Anolis sagrei: one gene and its partner. The protein of the gene in region 1 interacts with the protein of each later gene in a pairwise test. Links are inferred from orthologs where the notes say so. Each region holds a gene or a part of one and is shown on either strand. Other genes may lie near its edges.

Region 1 (8,173 bases):
TACAGATATTTATGGTTACTGTCCATATTCATTTCCCATCGATTCAGTGTATGATTTTGCTTTTCCCCTCTTCATGCCGAATTTCCAAACATCTTTTCAGTCTAAACAGGCTCTCAGATTAAACATAAGCAAAGCATTAAACATAAGTAAGTATTTCGTCTTAGTAAGTGGTGTTACTCGACCAACATGCCATGGGATCTTTGAGAAAGTCTGATTAGGTGAAATTCAAAGATCTGTCTTTGATCAGCTGTTCTCGTAATAAACTCTAACAAGCTCTTCAACTGCTGCAACATATAAATTTTCAGGCAATATTGTGAGTGTATGTTAATTTTGGATTATATATGTTAAGTAAAAATAACTTTCAGAAGGAAATTGGTATTCCTAGCTCACTCTTCACTGAAAAAAAGAATGACTTACAGAGAGCAGTAATATAACATAAGTCTACTGTACTGTAAGAATAACCACGAAGGGTTTTGTGCTAGGTTGCTGTGAGTTATCTGGGATGTAAGGCCATGTTCCAGAAGCATTTTCTCCTGACGTTTCAGCCACATCTATGTCAGGCATCCTCAGAGGTTGTGAGATTAGTTGGAAACAAGCCACTTGGAGTTTATACATCTATGGAATGTCCAGGGTGGGAGAAAGAACTCTTGTCTGCTGGAAGCAAGTATGAATACTGCAACTGATCACCTTGATTAGCATTGAATAGCCTTTCAGCTTCAAGGCTTGGCTGTTTCCGCTCTGGGAGAATCTTTTGTTGGGAGGTGATTAGCTGGCCCTGATTGTTTCCTGTCTGGAATTCCCCTGGTTTGGAGTGTTGTTTTTTATTTACTGTCCTGATTTTGGAGCTTTTAAATACTGGTAGCCAGATTTTGTTCATTTTCATGGTTTCCTCCTTTCTGTTGAAATTGTCCACATGCTTGTGGATTTAAATGGCTTCTCTGTGTAGTCTGACATGGTGGTTGTTAAGAGGAGTCCAGCATAATATGCTTTTCCAGGTTGGTTCATCAGGTGCTCTGCTAAAATGAACTACAACAGGGAAAAATGTGTAGTATGACACAGGCAATAAAAATGAAATGCATCGATATAGCATGGATGATAGTGGGCTTGGATAACAGTCCATGTGAAAGGGATCAAGGTGTAGAATTGATGTAATCCTCATTTTAAAAGAATTATTCCCCTATCCCTGAACAAGAAGTTCAGCCAGGGAAAGGCTCTTGGTCTTAAGAGGGAGGGGATACCTCACCGTACATGGCAGGGCGATGTGCCCTCTTGCACATACCGCAAGATGCCATGGAGTTAACCTACTTTAAGAGAAAAACCTCACTCAAAAGAGGATTATCAGATGTGAGTAACTAAAAATCATGCCAGTAATCTTCATACTGGGATGGGATGGGGGCCTTTTAATTCTTTATTGCAGCAGTTAGGTAGTCTCTCTCTCTCTCCTTTTGGCTGTGTAACTGATTGAGCATTGTCACAACACAACAATACTGTGGAAACTCAAAAAGCCAAAAGTACATTTCACAGGGCAGGGAGAAACTCAGTCCCACATCTCCTATTCCTTAGAAGAATTTTTCAAAACACATTTGACAGGAATGCCGTCTTTCTTATTGTCATTCTGGCAAACCTATGGATGGGATAATTCTGCAGCAGAGGCGTTTGAAAGATTTCTCAAGATGAGGCATTTGCTTACTATTTACAGAGCATTCTTATAGATGTCTACCCAGATGGTGGGGTATTTTCTCAGGCAAGCCTGTCTAGGTGTGCAGCCTTAACCAGGTAACTCTGGGTTGGGAATGGGTAAACTTGGGCCCTCCAGGTGTTTTAGACTTCAACTTCCACAATTTATACAATGTCATGCTCTTTCCTTTCTCCCCTCAGCCGCTTAGGCAAAAAAGGAAGGGGCCTGAGGCTGGGTTGCTGTGAGTTTTCGAGGCTGTATGGCCATGTTCCAGAAGCATTTTCTCCTGATGTTTCACCCACATCTATGGCAGGCATCCTCAGCGGTTGAGGGGTCTGTTGGAAACTAGGCAAGTGAGGTTTATTTATCTGTGGAATGTCCAGGGTGGGAGAAAGAACTCTTGTCTGCTTGAGGCAAGTGTGAATGTTACAATTGGCCACCTTGATTAACAATTAATGGCCTTACAGCTTCAAAGCTTGGTTGCTTGCTGTCTGGGGAAATACTTTGTTTGGATGTGTTAGCTGGCCCTGATTGATTCTCGTCCAGAATTCCCCTGCTTTTTAGTGTAGTTCTTTATTTACTGTCCTGATTTTAGATTTTTTTAAAAAACCGGTAGCCAGATTTTGTTCATTTCCATGGTTTCCTCCTCTCCTCCTGTTGAAATTGTCCACATGCTTGTGGATTTCAATGGTTTCTCTGTGTAGTCTGACATGGTAGTTGTTAAAGTGGTCCAGCCTTTCTGTGTTCTTAAATAATATGCCATGCCCAGGTTGGTTAACCAGCACCCATAGGGATTGGTAGGTGCCAAATAAGTGTAGTTTCTGGTTGCTTGAGAGTTGCTATTCAAAACAAGCCTAATACTATATGCCGTACTATCTCATAAAACACTGTACTAACCTGACATTAGTATTCAAATATAGTAATTAAAAGCAAAATCAGAGAAATGTAACCTAGTTTCACTGTGTTATAAACACGTATTTTCAATTTAATGATTTATTCTATTTTAATGCTGGTTACTTGAGTGTTCTGGTTAACTGAGTCTATAGCAGACCTGGGTAAACTTAGGTCCTCCAGATGTTTTGGACTCCAGCTACCACCATTCCTAACAGCCTTAGGCCCTTTCCTTTCCCCCTCAGCTGTTTAAGCAGACATGAAAGATAGGAAGGGGCCCAAAGCTGTCCAAAAGCCTGGTCCCAGAACCACAACTTCAATTTCTTCCTAAAAGACAGGAGGGATGAAGCCGATCTTACCTCTTTGGGAAGCGAGTTCCACAGGCAGGGGGCTACAGCCAAGAAGGCCCTGTCTCTCGTCCCCGCCAGACGTATTTGCGACGCTGGTGGGAGCGAGAGCAGGGTCTCCCCGGATGATCTTAAACTGCAAGGCGGGATGTAGCGGGAGATGTGTTCAGATGAGTAAACTGGGCTAGAACCATATAGAGCTTTATAAGTCAAAACCAGCACTATGAATTGACTGGGTTGTTGTAGGTTTTTCCGGGCTATATGGCCATGTTCTAGAGGCATTTTATCCTGACGTTTTGCCTGCATCTATGGCAAGCATCCTCAGAGGTAGTGAGGTCTGTTGGAAGTAGGAAAATGGGTTTATATATCTGTGGAATGACCAGGGTGGGACAAAGGACTTTTGTCTGCTGGAGCTAGGTGTGAATGTTTCACACTATCAATTGAGTTTGGAAGTGGATCGGCAGCCAGGGGAGCTGACACAACAAGGGGGTGGTGTGCTCCCTGTATGTCACTGATTGTGTAAAAGGGCAGATGGTAATTTTGTCAGTGCTGATTGTGTTTAAGTGCAGGCCAAGGTCTTTAGGCACTGCACCCAGTGTGCCCATCACCACTGGGACCACCTTGACTGGTTTGTGCATTATTATTATTATTATCTTTCCCAAAGGCTCCTCCCGAGATCTCCTTCAGCTCTGTCTGAATCCTGTATTGGTTGGAAACAGCAGCCCCATCTTGTGCTACTTCTCAAACCACAGAGGCTGGATCCACACTGGGAGATGGAATGCACTTTGACACCCCTTTAACATGCCCAGTGTGGAACACATTTCACCACGCTAAAACAGTAGATGTGGCTCTTAATGAGACATGCCGCATTATCATGGGGTGCCTGCGCCCTACACCACTGGAGAAATTACACTGTCTAGCCGGTATTGCATCACCTGACCTCCGCTGGGAAGTAGCAGCCAATAGTGAAAGGACCAAGGCAGAGACATCTCCAGCTCATCCCTTGTTTGGATATCAGCCAGTACATCAACTTAAATCAAGAAATAGTTTTCTAAGATCTACAGAGACACTTGCTGGAACACCTCAGCAAGCGAGAGTCCAAAAGTGGCAGGCTCAAACCCAGAACCTCAACCAATGGCTGATACCAAATGAGAGACTCCCCCCTGGGCACACAGAGGACTGGGCGACTTGGAAGGCGCTGAACAGACTGCGCTCTGGCACCACAAGATGCAGAGCCAACCTTCAGAAATGGGGCTACAAAGTGGAATCCTTGACATGTGAGTGCAGAGTGGAGCAAACCACTGACCACCTGCTGCAATGCAACCTGAGCCCTGCCACATGCACAATGGAGGACCTTCTTATAATAACACCAGAGGCACTCCAAGTGGCCAGATACTGGTCAAAGGACATTTAATCAACTACCAAACTCGCAAACTTTGTGTTTTGTTTGTCTGTTTGTTAAAAAATGCAATGCAACTGTTTGGTCTGCTCCTTACACGATTAATAAACAAAAACCCCTTTAACTGCAATGGTTCCTGGCTGTGGAGTCCTGGGAGCTGTAGTTTGGAGAGGCACCAGGACCATTTGGGAAAGAAATTTAAAGACTTCCTAAAACTAAAGCCACAGCCTGGAGTGCTGGCAGCTAAAGTGGTGCCAGACTGCATTCCTTTTACAGTGTAGTGTTAGAGGCAGGCAAAGAGGTGGATGCCAGATCTGCCCTGAGTTTGCAAGCGCCTGGCCCGTGGCTTGGAAGGCCTGACTCGGGCCCCGTGCTTCTTTTGGAATCTCCCCCTCGCTGCATTACCTCGCCCTCCTTCCTCTTCACGCTCCTCCCGAAACCCGCGACCAGTTTTGACAGTTAAACCGCCTAACCGAACTCCGCCCCCTTCCCTTCCCTTCGCCCCGCCCCTTGGTTGCTATTGGGCGAACCGACCCGCCTCGCGCGCCCTTTCCGCGGCTTCTGATTGCTCGCTTCTGCCCTTCGCTGCTTCACGCAGTTCCTGGCTCAGGATTGGCTGGCTCGGTGGACGTCCGGCGAGGTAACCAATGGCTGGAGCGCGCTCGCCCGGATCCAAGATGGCGGCGCCGGGGACTGGCGAGGAGGGCCCCGAAGGAAGGAGCTGAAGCGGCCTCGGCCGGAGGCTTTGGGCCCCGGCGCCTGCCTGCCCTCGGAGCTGGCTTCTGCCCCAGCGATGGCTGCGGAAAGCAGCAAGCAGTTCTGGAAGCGGAGCGCCAAGCTACCGGGCAGGTGAGTGAGGCAAGGAGCGCCGGTGTCTCTGAGATCCCGCTGAGGCGATGCCGGTTCAGCCCCTCATGTCATGTGTGGCGCCTTCCGCGGCTCAGGCTCCCGAAGCAGAGAAGCGCCAACCATTAATGGGTCCACGAAGGAAAGGTGTTCCCTCTGCGGTTGAGGAGATCCCTCTCCCTCTCTCTCTCTCTCTCTCCCTCTCTCCGGGAATTCGCAGCCTTGTTGACCCCAACGGTCTTTGGCGGCGCTTGGCAACCACTTTGTTCGGCTTCCACCGCTCGAAGCTTCGAAATAGAGCTCTCCCCAGAAGCCTAGAATCTGTGCAATTTCATACCACGTTAACTGCTATGGCTCAGTGCTGTGAAATTGTAGTTTTACAAGGTCTTCAGCCTTCTTTGCCAGAGAGTGCTGGTGCCTCACCAAACTGCAGCTCTTAGGATTCAATGGCACAGAGCCATGGCAGTCAAAGTGGTGTCAAACTACATTGGATCTGCAAAATAGAGTCCAGCAAGACAGAGCCCTGTGAATAGGCTACGGCAGGAATGGGCAAACTTGGGCCCTCTCTCCAGGTGTTTTGGACTTCAGCTCCCACAATTCCTAACAGACCCAGGCTCCTACCTTCCCCCCCTCTGATGCTTAAGCGGCTTAAAGGGCTTGAATTTGTTAGGAATTGTGGGAGTTGAAGACCAAAATACCTGGAGAGAGGGCCCAAGTTTGCCCATGCCTGGGCTAGGGTCTTTCTCCTCGGATGAGAAGATGCTCCTTTATTTGCATGGGTCAGTCTGTGTTGATCTACCTTTGACATGCCACAGATATATAAACATCACTTGCCTAGTTTCCGGCAGACCCCTCAACTTTTGAGGATGGCTGCCATAGATGTGGGTGGAACGTCAGGAGATAATGCCTTTGGAACATGGTCATACAGCCCAGAAAACTCATAGCAACCCAGCCTCAGGCCCCTTCCTTTTCTGCCTAAGTGGCTGAGGGGGGAAAGGAAAGGGCATGAGGCTGTTAGGATTTGTGGGAGTTGAAGTCCAAATCACCTGGAGACAGGGCCCAACTTTGCGGAGTCTTTCACCTCGGATGAGAAGTTGTTCCTTTATTTTCATGGGTCATTATGCTGATCTGTTCCTGAACACTTCTGTTAAGGTTGCATACCAAATCAAGCTATGAGTTCTATCCTAAAGCACTGCTTCCAAAACTGCGAATGTCTGGCCCGAATGGGGCCCCCTTAGCTCAATGTTGGGGTCCCAAAAGATTTGGCAACAGTAGAAGCTTTCTGAATGTCACCTAGTGGCTCTTTTAGATGTTTACACAAATTGATTGTGTAGTGTTTACTCTGCAGAAAATGCCTCGGCTGTACTTTAAAAAAAGAGAAATCAGCCTGTTTAACAAGCCTTGTGAATGCAGATTGGTCAGTAAATTTTTGATATTATATACCCTGGTGGCACAGCGGGTTAAACTACTGAACTGCTGAACTTGCTAATCAAAAGGTTGGTGGTTCAAATTGGGGAGTGTGGTGAGCAGCCATTGTTAGGCCCAGCTTCTGCCAATCTAGCAGTTCAAAAACATGCAAGTGTGAGTAGATCAATAGGTACAGCTTCTGCAGGAAGGTGACGGTTCTCCATGGAGTTATGCTGGCCACATGATCTTGGAGGTGAATACAGACAATGCTGGCTCTTCGACTTAGAAATGGAGATGAGCATCATCCCCCAGAGTCGGACATGACTGGACTTAATGTCAGGGGAGGCCTATATACATAGGGTCATATAAAAATTACTTGGGCGAAAAGGAGTTCCGAATGGAAACGTTTTATAAGCCTTGTCCTAGGGTACCCTTTTCCTGTCAAAGGTGAAATTGTTTATGAAGAAGTTCAATACATGAGTCAGATATTACTATAAACACACACAAACAAACAAAATGAAGCAGAAGATCTAGGGCAGGAGTCCTCAAACTTTTTAAACAGAGGGCCAGTTCACGGTCACTCAGGCTGTTGAGGGACCAGACTATAGTTTGAAGAAGAAAAAACATGAATTAATTCATGCGCACATATCTTATTTGTCATAAAAAAACAAAAGAACAATACAGTACAAACCTGACACAACCATTTGGCAATGAAGAACAAATTTTAACCAACATAAAACTTACCAGTATTTCAATGGGAAGTATGGGCCTGCTTTTCGCTGATGAGATAGTCAAGTTAATTAGAATTGCTATTGTGCCTTCAAGTAGTTTCAGACCTAGGGCAACCCTAAGTCTTAAGTTTAGGGTGGGGGCTGAATAAATTCCCTTGGAGGGCTGCATCCTGCCTGTGGGCCTTAGTTTGGGGACCTTTGACCCAGGTTGCATCTAATTTGCCAAATGAATACAGTTTGACACTACCTTAACTGCCATGGCTGAATACTTTGGAATCATGGGAATTTTACTATGGTGAGATAACAATACCTTTGGCACGGAGGCGAAAGAATGTTCAAACCTACAACTCCTATGAATCCACACCTTGTAGCCATTGTAGTTGAAGTGATTTCAAACTTCATTAATTCTACAATGTAGATGCACCCTAGTCTTCTACTGTGGGAATCCTTTTATTAGTTTTGATTTCAGATCTTTCCATAGCACCTCCTTCCAAAATAGGTGAGATGACAGTCTGTGGTGCTTGAATTATAGAAAGGCCAGACAGCCTTCTCCTCCACTTCCTTTTTTGATTCCTCATAATTCAAGGGTAGATATGTACAAAATGCAAGGACTTTGGAATCAAATATTGATTTATTTCCTCTTTCATAATGAATTCTTATTGTATTGTTTGGGAACATGGACCCCAGGAAAATTATTGTTGAGAATAAATTTTGGCTATATTTGGGAGGGGTCTTGATTTGTACAAATTTCCGGTTTTGAGGAGAAGTTTCTTATACCAGAGTGTGCAAAAACATTAATTCTACATTAATTATATTACAACAACTTAGCAATGAATATTGAGAGGTAGGTTTTTAGTGCCTTCTTCTGAGATAT
Region 2 (8,145 bases), on another chromosome or scaffold:
CTGCTTCCTTGGAGACTAGGACGCGGAACAATGGCTTCAAACTACAAGAGAGGAGATTCCATCTGAACATTAGGAAGAACTTCCTGACTGTGAGAGCCGTTCAGCAGTGGAACTCTTTGCCCCGGAGTGTGGTGGAGGCTCCTTCTTTGGATGCTTTTAAGCAGAGGCTGGATGGCCATCTGTCAGGGGTGATTTGAATGCAATATTCCTGCTTCTTGGCAGGGGGTTGGACTGGATGGCCCATGAGGTCTCTTCCAACTCTTTGATTCTATGATTCTATGAATTAATACCGAATTACGAAATTAACGAATGAAACCACCCAAGCCTAGATAATAGGATTGGACTCTCTCCAATGCAGTGATGCTGTGAGATTTAAAAGATTCTCCATCCCTGCTTTGGAGTATCTCACATCTCCTGTTACTTTAGCACAGCAGTGAATCATTTGCAGAAGTGGCAAGAAGAAAGCCTGCCTTCTCCCTCCTCTACTCGAACCTTATCCCCTCCATGAAGCCCGAAAAACACTACAGAAGCTGGCTAGACCCCAAAAGTCAAACGCATTCCTAGGAGAAAGCCCCAAGAGAGAATATTTTTATGCAGGTCTCAGCTGTAAAGCCCTAATGCCGGCTCCTTGCATCCTGAAGGAGGGATGATAGCTATTAACCACCCACAGAGAGCGGAAAAGAATATTCTCAGGTCATCATTTTTTTAAAAAAAAGGGAAACATTTTGTGCCTGCTTTTCCACCAAGTTTTGTGCTTTTATGACACAGGCAAATGTTTTCTTCTTCAAAAGTGAGATTTCTCTCCCTCTCAGGCTTTCATCTACACGGCTGAAAAGAATTCCCAGTAGGCCCTTTCTGCGGTGCGGTTTCGACTTTTCTTATCTCTGCCCTCTGTTTCATTGGCCAGAATAATTCCTGAGCCACAGGGGCTTAGGAGCATTTCCTTGAAACATCTTTCGATAATGAATGCAGGTGAGAGCTTTGCCTCAACAAAGCTCCACTTTTTATCGAGAACAGGACCTTTTCTGCATTGTGCCAAGATGATATTGGCTTGGCGGGTGGTGGGGGGAGTTATAATGAGGTCTGGCGTGGTCTTTGGGTAAAAAAACGGGGCTAAAAGTCAAATAATCTCATCCTGTTTTGCCCACCGAAATATGTTTGCCGTTTTCCTCACTGCGCAATAATTTCTTGATGTGTCAATGAAGGAGCAAAACCTCACATATGAACCAATGTGAAGTTTGTTATTACCATGTGCTTTAAATTTTAATTTTAACTGTTAGTTGCAAGATTTAAACTGTTGTATCATGCTTATCCTCCCCTTTTACCCTGCTTATGTATAGTTGTATGGACCAAGGGCAAGATGAATGGATGGCATCCTTGAAGTGACTGGACTGACCTTGAAGGAGCTGGGGTGGTGACGGCCGACAGAGAGCTCTGGCGTGGCCTGGTCCATGAGGTCACGAAAAGTCGGAGACGACTGAACAAATGAACAACAACATGTATTGGTTACTTATGGCTATCAATCAGTACTGTATGGCTCCACCTCTTCCTGCAGGAGGGGAGTGCTTCCTTTCTTTTCATTCTGCCATCAGAGTTTCTACCAGATGGACGTGAGTATGAGACTTGTCTCTAAAAGACCCTGATTTAAATTACCTCTCAGCACCAGTTCTGAGGTTTTTTATCCTTGAGATTTGTGATTCATGTTCAGACCAACCTGAATGACGTTGGAAGTCTCAAGCGCCTTCAAACCGGTTCTTTTGGCACCAAAGGAAGATCCTGAGTCTTCAAACATAGGCCATTTGAACTGGGGTTGTGGTTTGCTCCGGCATTCACAGCCATTGAGGAAAGAGGAAACTTGGAAAGGCTTCTCAGCTTCAAACACCTTGGACCCAAGACTAACTGAGATTGTAACATATATTTTCCTTCAACCCTCTGAAGTTTCCAGCTCATTGCTTTAAAGAAACAACTCTGTGATCAATAAAACTTATTTTGAGTTATTTACAGCGTTTTGGGTTTTTGAAAGTTCCAGTTTCTTATAGGAGGGCAAGAAGCAATCCCCTGGGGAAAGATGCCACGTCCATGCCTCCTTCATTAAGAATTATAGCCCCCAGGCGCAACAGCACAGCACCTACGAAGGAGGCGGGACTGAGAGCAGGGTCTCTCCAGATGATCTCAGTCTCCAAGATGGTTCATAGGGGGAGATACGTTCAAACAGGTAAGCTGGGCCGGAACCATTTAGGGCAGCGTTTCTCAACCTGGGGTCCAAGACCCCTGTGGGGGTTGCGAGGGGGTGTCAAAGGGGTCATCAAAGACAATAAGAAAACACAGTATTTTCTGTTGGTCATGGGGTTTATGTGTGGCAAGTTTGGCCCAGTTCTATTGTTGGTGCTGTTCAGAATGCTCTTTGATTGTAGGTGAACTATAAATCCTCTCAGAATTTACCTCCAACACCACAGTTCAGAAGCGTCTATCTTCCTTTGCTCAGCCTTCCCTATAGTCCAGCTCTCACATCCGTAGGTGACTATGGGGAATACCATTGGTTTAACTATGCAGATCTTTGTTGCCAGTGTGATGTCTTTACTCTTCACTATTTTATCAAGATTGGTCATTGCTCTCCTCCCAAGAAGTAAGCTTCTCCTGATTTCCTGGCTGCAGTCTCCGTTTGCAGTAATCTTTGCACCTAGAAATACAAAGTTTGTCACGGCCTTGACGTTTTATCCCTCTAATTGCCAGTTGTCAATCATTCTTGTTGTCATAATCTTGGTTTTTTAAATGTTTAACTGCAACCCAAATTTTGCGCATTCTTCTTTCACCTTGATTAGAAGGCTCCTCAGTTCCTCCTTGCTTTCAGCCATCAAAGTGGTGTCATCTGCATATCCATTGGTTACTATGGAGAATACCATTGCTTTGACTATGCAGATCTTCGTTGCTAGTGTGTTGTCTTTACTCTTCACTATTTTATCGAGATTGGTCATTGCTCTCCTCCTGAGAAGTAAACGTCTTCTGTTTTCCTGTCCACAGTCTGCGTCTTTGTTGTGGCTCAGTCTGAGTCTGAACTGTCTGGGCCTTATGCTGGGCCTGCTGGGCCTTCTGAGCCTGACTTTCTGCAGGATGACGAGGAGGCTGATGGGTTTCAGATTTCTGTACATGTTCCAGACGGGGCTAATAGTGTGGCTTCTGAAGAAGAAACAGCAAGTCTGTTCTCTGGAGAAAGGAATGTGCCGTTAGAGAAAGACAGTGAAACTCCACATCTGCAGGTGGAGACTCCTTTGACTCCTTTTGGTTCCCAGGGTGATCAGACCCAGCTGGGCCAAGATAAGGAGTTGCCCAGCCTTGAAGATAATAGTGAATTAATGAGTAGACAGGATCGTTTACCATTAAGAGTTCGCAGAAGCACTCATCTTGCCAGCAAGTATGCAGCCAAAGGTCAACGCAATGCTTTCATGTCAGGAAAACTTATTTAATGGTGTAGCCGACAGGCATTTTCTGTCAGTCCAATGTTGCTCCTTCCCTGTTAACTTCTGTGGAATTACCTTGGCTTTTGCGGAACGCTTCTGGCTTTTTTGAGACTTGGATTTTGATCCTGATTTCATTTGTGTACCATGGACTTTTGTTTGACCATTGCTAAGGGATTATGCTTCATGTTATTTACCTTTGAATCTTGGAAACTTTGCCTTTGCATTTAAGACTCTGTTTTGCCTATTGAACTTTTGCGTCCTTATTTCTCTGTTTTGATTTTGCTTTTTCTCAATAAACCTACAGCCTTGGTGTGTGGTGGTGTCTTGAGCAAGGAAGAAACTACCCTGAGTTGCGACAGTCTTTCTGCCTTTATATTCTGGGATATAGGGCTGTGTGGAAGGGCCCTTAATAGGCTTGCGAGAAAGCAGGTGGGGAAATGTCAGTGCTTGTGTGTACAGATACAGAATGGAGAATGCCTGGCTTGAGAGCAGTACGTGTGAAAAAGATCTTGGAGTCCTCATGGACAACAAGTTAAACATGAGCCAACAATGTGATGTGGCGGCAAAAAAAGCCAATGGGATTTTGGCCTGCATCAATAGGAGTATAGTGTCTAGATCCAGGGAAGTAATGCTACCCCTCTATTCCGCTTTGGTTAGACCACACCTGGAATATTGTGTCCAATTCTGGGCACCACAATTGAAGAGAGATGTTGACAAGCTGGAATGTGTCCAGAGGAGGGCGACTAAAATGATCAAGGGTCTGGAGAACAAGCCCTATGAGGAACGCCTTAAGGAGCTGGGCATGTTTAGCCTGAAGAAGAGAAGGCTGAGAGGAGATATGATAGCCATGTATAAATATGTGAAAGGAAGCCACAGGGAGGAGGGAGCAAGCTTGTTTTCTGCTTCCTTGGAGACTAGGACGCGGAACAATGGCTTCAAACTACAAGAGAGGAGATTCCATCTGAACATGAGGAAGAACTTCCTGACTGTGAGAGCCGTTCAGCAGTGGAACTCTCTGCCCCGGAGCGAGGTGGAGGCTCCTTCTTTGGAAGCTTTTAAACAGAGGTTGGATGGCCATCTGTCAGGGATGATTTGAATGCAACATTCCTGCTTCTTGGCAGGGGGTTGGACTGGATGGCCCATGAGGTCTCTTCCAAGTCTTTGAGTCTATGATTCTATGATTCTATGAAAGCAGGTGGGGAAAAGTCAGTGCTTGTGTGTACAGTTAGGCATGGACTCCTTTGGGCCCTCCAGGTGCTTTGAACTTCAACTCCCACAATTCCCAAATGGCTGTTGAAGTCCAAAACACCTGGAGGGAGGGCTGTAGTGGTGGTCTGCCATGCCAATGAGTGGAGAGTTGCCTGCTAGGCTTTGCCAGCTAGGCCTCAGCGTTGCCGTGGCAACGGGAGACGCCTGTAAGCCCCGCCCCGAATTGCCGCCGTGGGAAAGGCGGGCTCGGCGGCGGGAAGCAAGCAAAGGGCAGCAGGGAGGGAGGAGGGAGGCAGGGAGGGAGGGGAGAGGCCCCTTGCCCCACGGTGGGGAAAGAGCAGAGCCGCAGGGAGCCCACGGAAGGGCCACAGGGCGGGGAAGAGAGGCCCTTCCTCGAAGCCCAGCCAGGTAACCCACCTTCCCCCCTTCTCTGCTCCAAAGAATCCCTTCCTATGCTCAGAGGCACTCTTTGCCTGTCTGTTTCCCAGTTGCAACAGACTACTGAAAGAAAGCCCCCTCTACACTGCCCTATAACCCAGGGAGGGCCCTTCCACACAGCCCTCTATCCCAGAATATCCAGGCAGAAAATCCCACAATATCTGCTTTGAACCAGATTAATCTACATTGCCATCAAATCCAGTTTCTGAATCCACATTATCTGCTTTGGACTGGATTATATGACACTATGCTGTCACATAATCCAGTTCAATGCAGATTTCTGGATTTTATATGGCAATGTAGAAGGGGCCCCAAGTCCACACTCAGATAATGTGGGATTTCCTACCTGGGATACAGGGCTGTGTGGAAGGGTCCCCAGATTATCAAAGCAGATAATCCAGTGTCTATTTTGAACTGGATTATATGACCCTACGCTGCCACATAAACCAGTTCAAAGCAGATAACATGGATTTTATGAGGCTGGATCTGCACTGCCATATCTAATCCGGATTATCTGATTTGAACTGGATTATATGGCAGTGTAGACTCAGGTCTCTTCTACACTGCCCTATAACCCAGATTATCAAATCGGATAATCCACACCAACTGATTTGGACAGGATTATCTGACTCTAGACTGCCATATAATCCAGTTCAAAGCAGATTCTGTTGTTCATTTGTTCAGTCGTCTCTGACTCTTCGTGACCTCACGGACCAGCCCACGCCAGAGCTCCCTGTCGGCCGTCACCACCCCCAGCTCCTTCAAGGTCAGTCCAGTCACTTCAAGGATACCATCCATCCATCTTGCCCTTGGTCGGCCCCTCTTCCTTTTGCCTTCCACTTTCCCCAGCATAATTGTCTTCTCTAGGCTTTCCTGTCTCCTCATGATGTGGCCAAAGTACTTCAACTTTGTCTCTAGTATCTTTCCCTCCAATGAGCAGTCGGGCTTTATTTCCTGGAGGATGGACTGGTTGGATCTTCTCGCAGTCCAAGGCACTCCAAGCAGATTCTATGAATTATGTAATTGCAGTGTAGAAGGGGCCTCATATAATCCTATTCAAAGCAGATAATGTGGATTATCTGCTTTTATAATCTGGGTTATATGGCAGTGTAGAAGGGGCCTCACTCTTCTCTCGTCCCTTCTTGTTGACGCTTAATCTACACTGCCATCAAATCCAGTTTCTGAATCCACATTATCTGCTTTGAACTGAGTTATATGACACTATATTGCCATGTAATCCAGTTCAAAGCAAGACATCTGGAATTGAGTAACTGGATTATATAGCAGTGCAGACCCAGTTTGGATTATATGAGTCTACATTACGATGTAATCCAGTTCAAAGCAAATAATCTCGACTGACGGCCCTTCCACGCAGCCATATAACCCAGAATACCAAGGTAGATAATCCACAATATCTGCTTTGAACTGGCTTATCTGAGTCCATACTGCCATATAACTCAGTTCAGTGCAGATAATGTGGGATTTTATACAGCTGTGTGGAAGGGGCCTATGAAACCGGATTATATGTGGCAGTGTAGATAAGGCCTATTTTTATATTTTCCCCTCTCCCATTATGGTAGGGAACTGAAGGAAAGGTCCCACAGCCTGTGTGAAGAGGCATTCGCGTTTTCCACTTCCTTTCTCATTGATTCGGGTCTGACACCATAACAAAATTATTTCATTTTCTCATTGACCTCTTATAAGCAGTGAAGAAAAGTTTTCTTTTTATGCTCAGAGGCACTCTTTTCCTACTTTCTTTCTCTTGGTGATGTTAACAAAGGAGAGGGCTGAAGGAAAAGCTCCTCAAACTGTACCAAGAGACATTCACATTTTCCTATTATTATTATTATTATTATTAGTATACTATTATTATACTATTTCAAACTTCCGTACAGTGGCCCTTATTTCTCATGCCAGTAAGGTAATGCTCAAGATCCTGCAAGGAAGACTCCAGCAATACGTGGAGCGAGAGTTGCCAGATGTTCAAGTTGGGTTTAGAAAAGGCAGAGGAACGAGAGACCAAATTGCCAATATCCGCTGGATAATGGAGAAAGGCAGGGAGTTTCAGAAAAACATCTACTTCTGCTTCATTGACTATTCTAAAGCCTTTGACTGTGTGGATCATAATAAATTGTGGCAAGTTCTTAGTGGGATGGGCATCCCAAGCCACCTTGTCTCTCTCCTGAGGAATCTGTACAAGGACCAAGTAGCAACAGTCAGAACTGACCACGGAACAACAGACTGGTTCAAGATTGGGAAAGGCGTACGGCAAGGCTGCATCCTCTCACCCAACCTTTTTAACTTGTATGCAGAACACATCATGCGATGTGCGGGGCTGGATGAATGCAAAGCTGGGGTGAAAATTGCTGGAAGAAACATTAACAACCTCAGATATGCAGATGACACCACTCTGATGGCCGAAAGCGAGGAAGAGCTGAGGAGCTTCTAATCAAGGTGAAAGAGGAAAGCGCAAAAGCCGGGTTGCAGCTAAACGTCAAAAAAACCAAGATTATGGCAACAAGAATGATTGACAACTGGAAAATAGAGGGAGAAACCGTGGAGGCCGTGACAGACTTTGTATTTCTAGGTACAAAGATTACTGCAGATGCAGACTGTAGCCAGGAAATCAGAAGACGCTTACTTCTTGGGAGGAGAGCAATGTCCAGTCTCGATAAAATAGTGAAGAGTAGAGACATCAGACTGGCAACAAAGATCCGCCTAGTCAAAGCCATGGTATTCCCTGTAGTCACCTACGGATGTGAGAGCTGGACCTTAGGGAAGGCTGAGCGAAGGAAGATCGATGCTTTTGAGCTGTGGTGTTGGAGGAAAGTGCTGAGAGTGCCTTGGACTGCGAGAAGATCCAACCAGTCCATCCTCCAGGAAATAAAGCCCGACTGCTCACTGGAGGGAAAGATACTAGAGACAAAGTTGAAGTACTTTGGCCACATCATGAGGAGACAGGAAAGCCTAGAGAAGACAATTATGCTGGGGAAAGTGGAAGGCAAAAGGAAGAGGGGCCGACCAAGGGCAAGATGGATGG

Evidence for each region.
Region 2: the proteins of TBC1D22B (region 1) and DEUP1 interact in binary tests that used the Homo sapiens proteins (3 or more experiments, as listed by UniProt). The link is inferred for Anolis sagrei from reciprocal best matches to the Homo sapiens genes TBC1D22B and DEUP1.

Annotation. Positions count from the first base shown.
Region 1 is NC_090024.1:186,726,602-186,734,774, reverse strand, and holds the start of TBC1D22B (TBC1 domain family member 22B), read left to right. Parts: upstream 1-5,080; 5' UTR 5,081-5,108; coding exon 5,109-5,164; intron 5,165-8,173. UniProt on the Homo sapiens protein: May act as a GTPase-activating protein for Rab family protein(s).
Region 2 is NC_090023.1:19,127,150-19,135,294, forward strand, and holds the start of DEUP1 (deuterosome assembly protein 1), read left to right. Parts: upstream 1-4,977; 5' UTR 4,978-5,075; intron 5,076-8,145. UniProt on the Homo sapiens protein: Key structural component of the deuterosome, a structure that promotes de novo centriole amplification in multiciliated cells.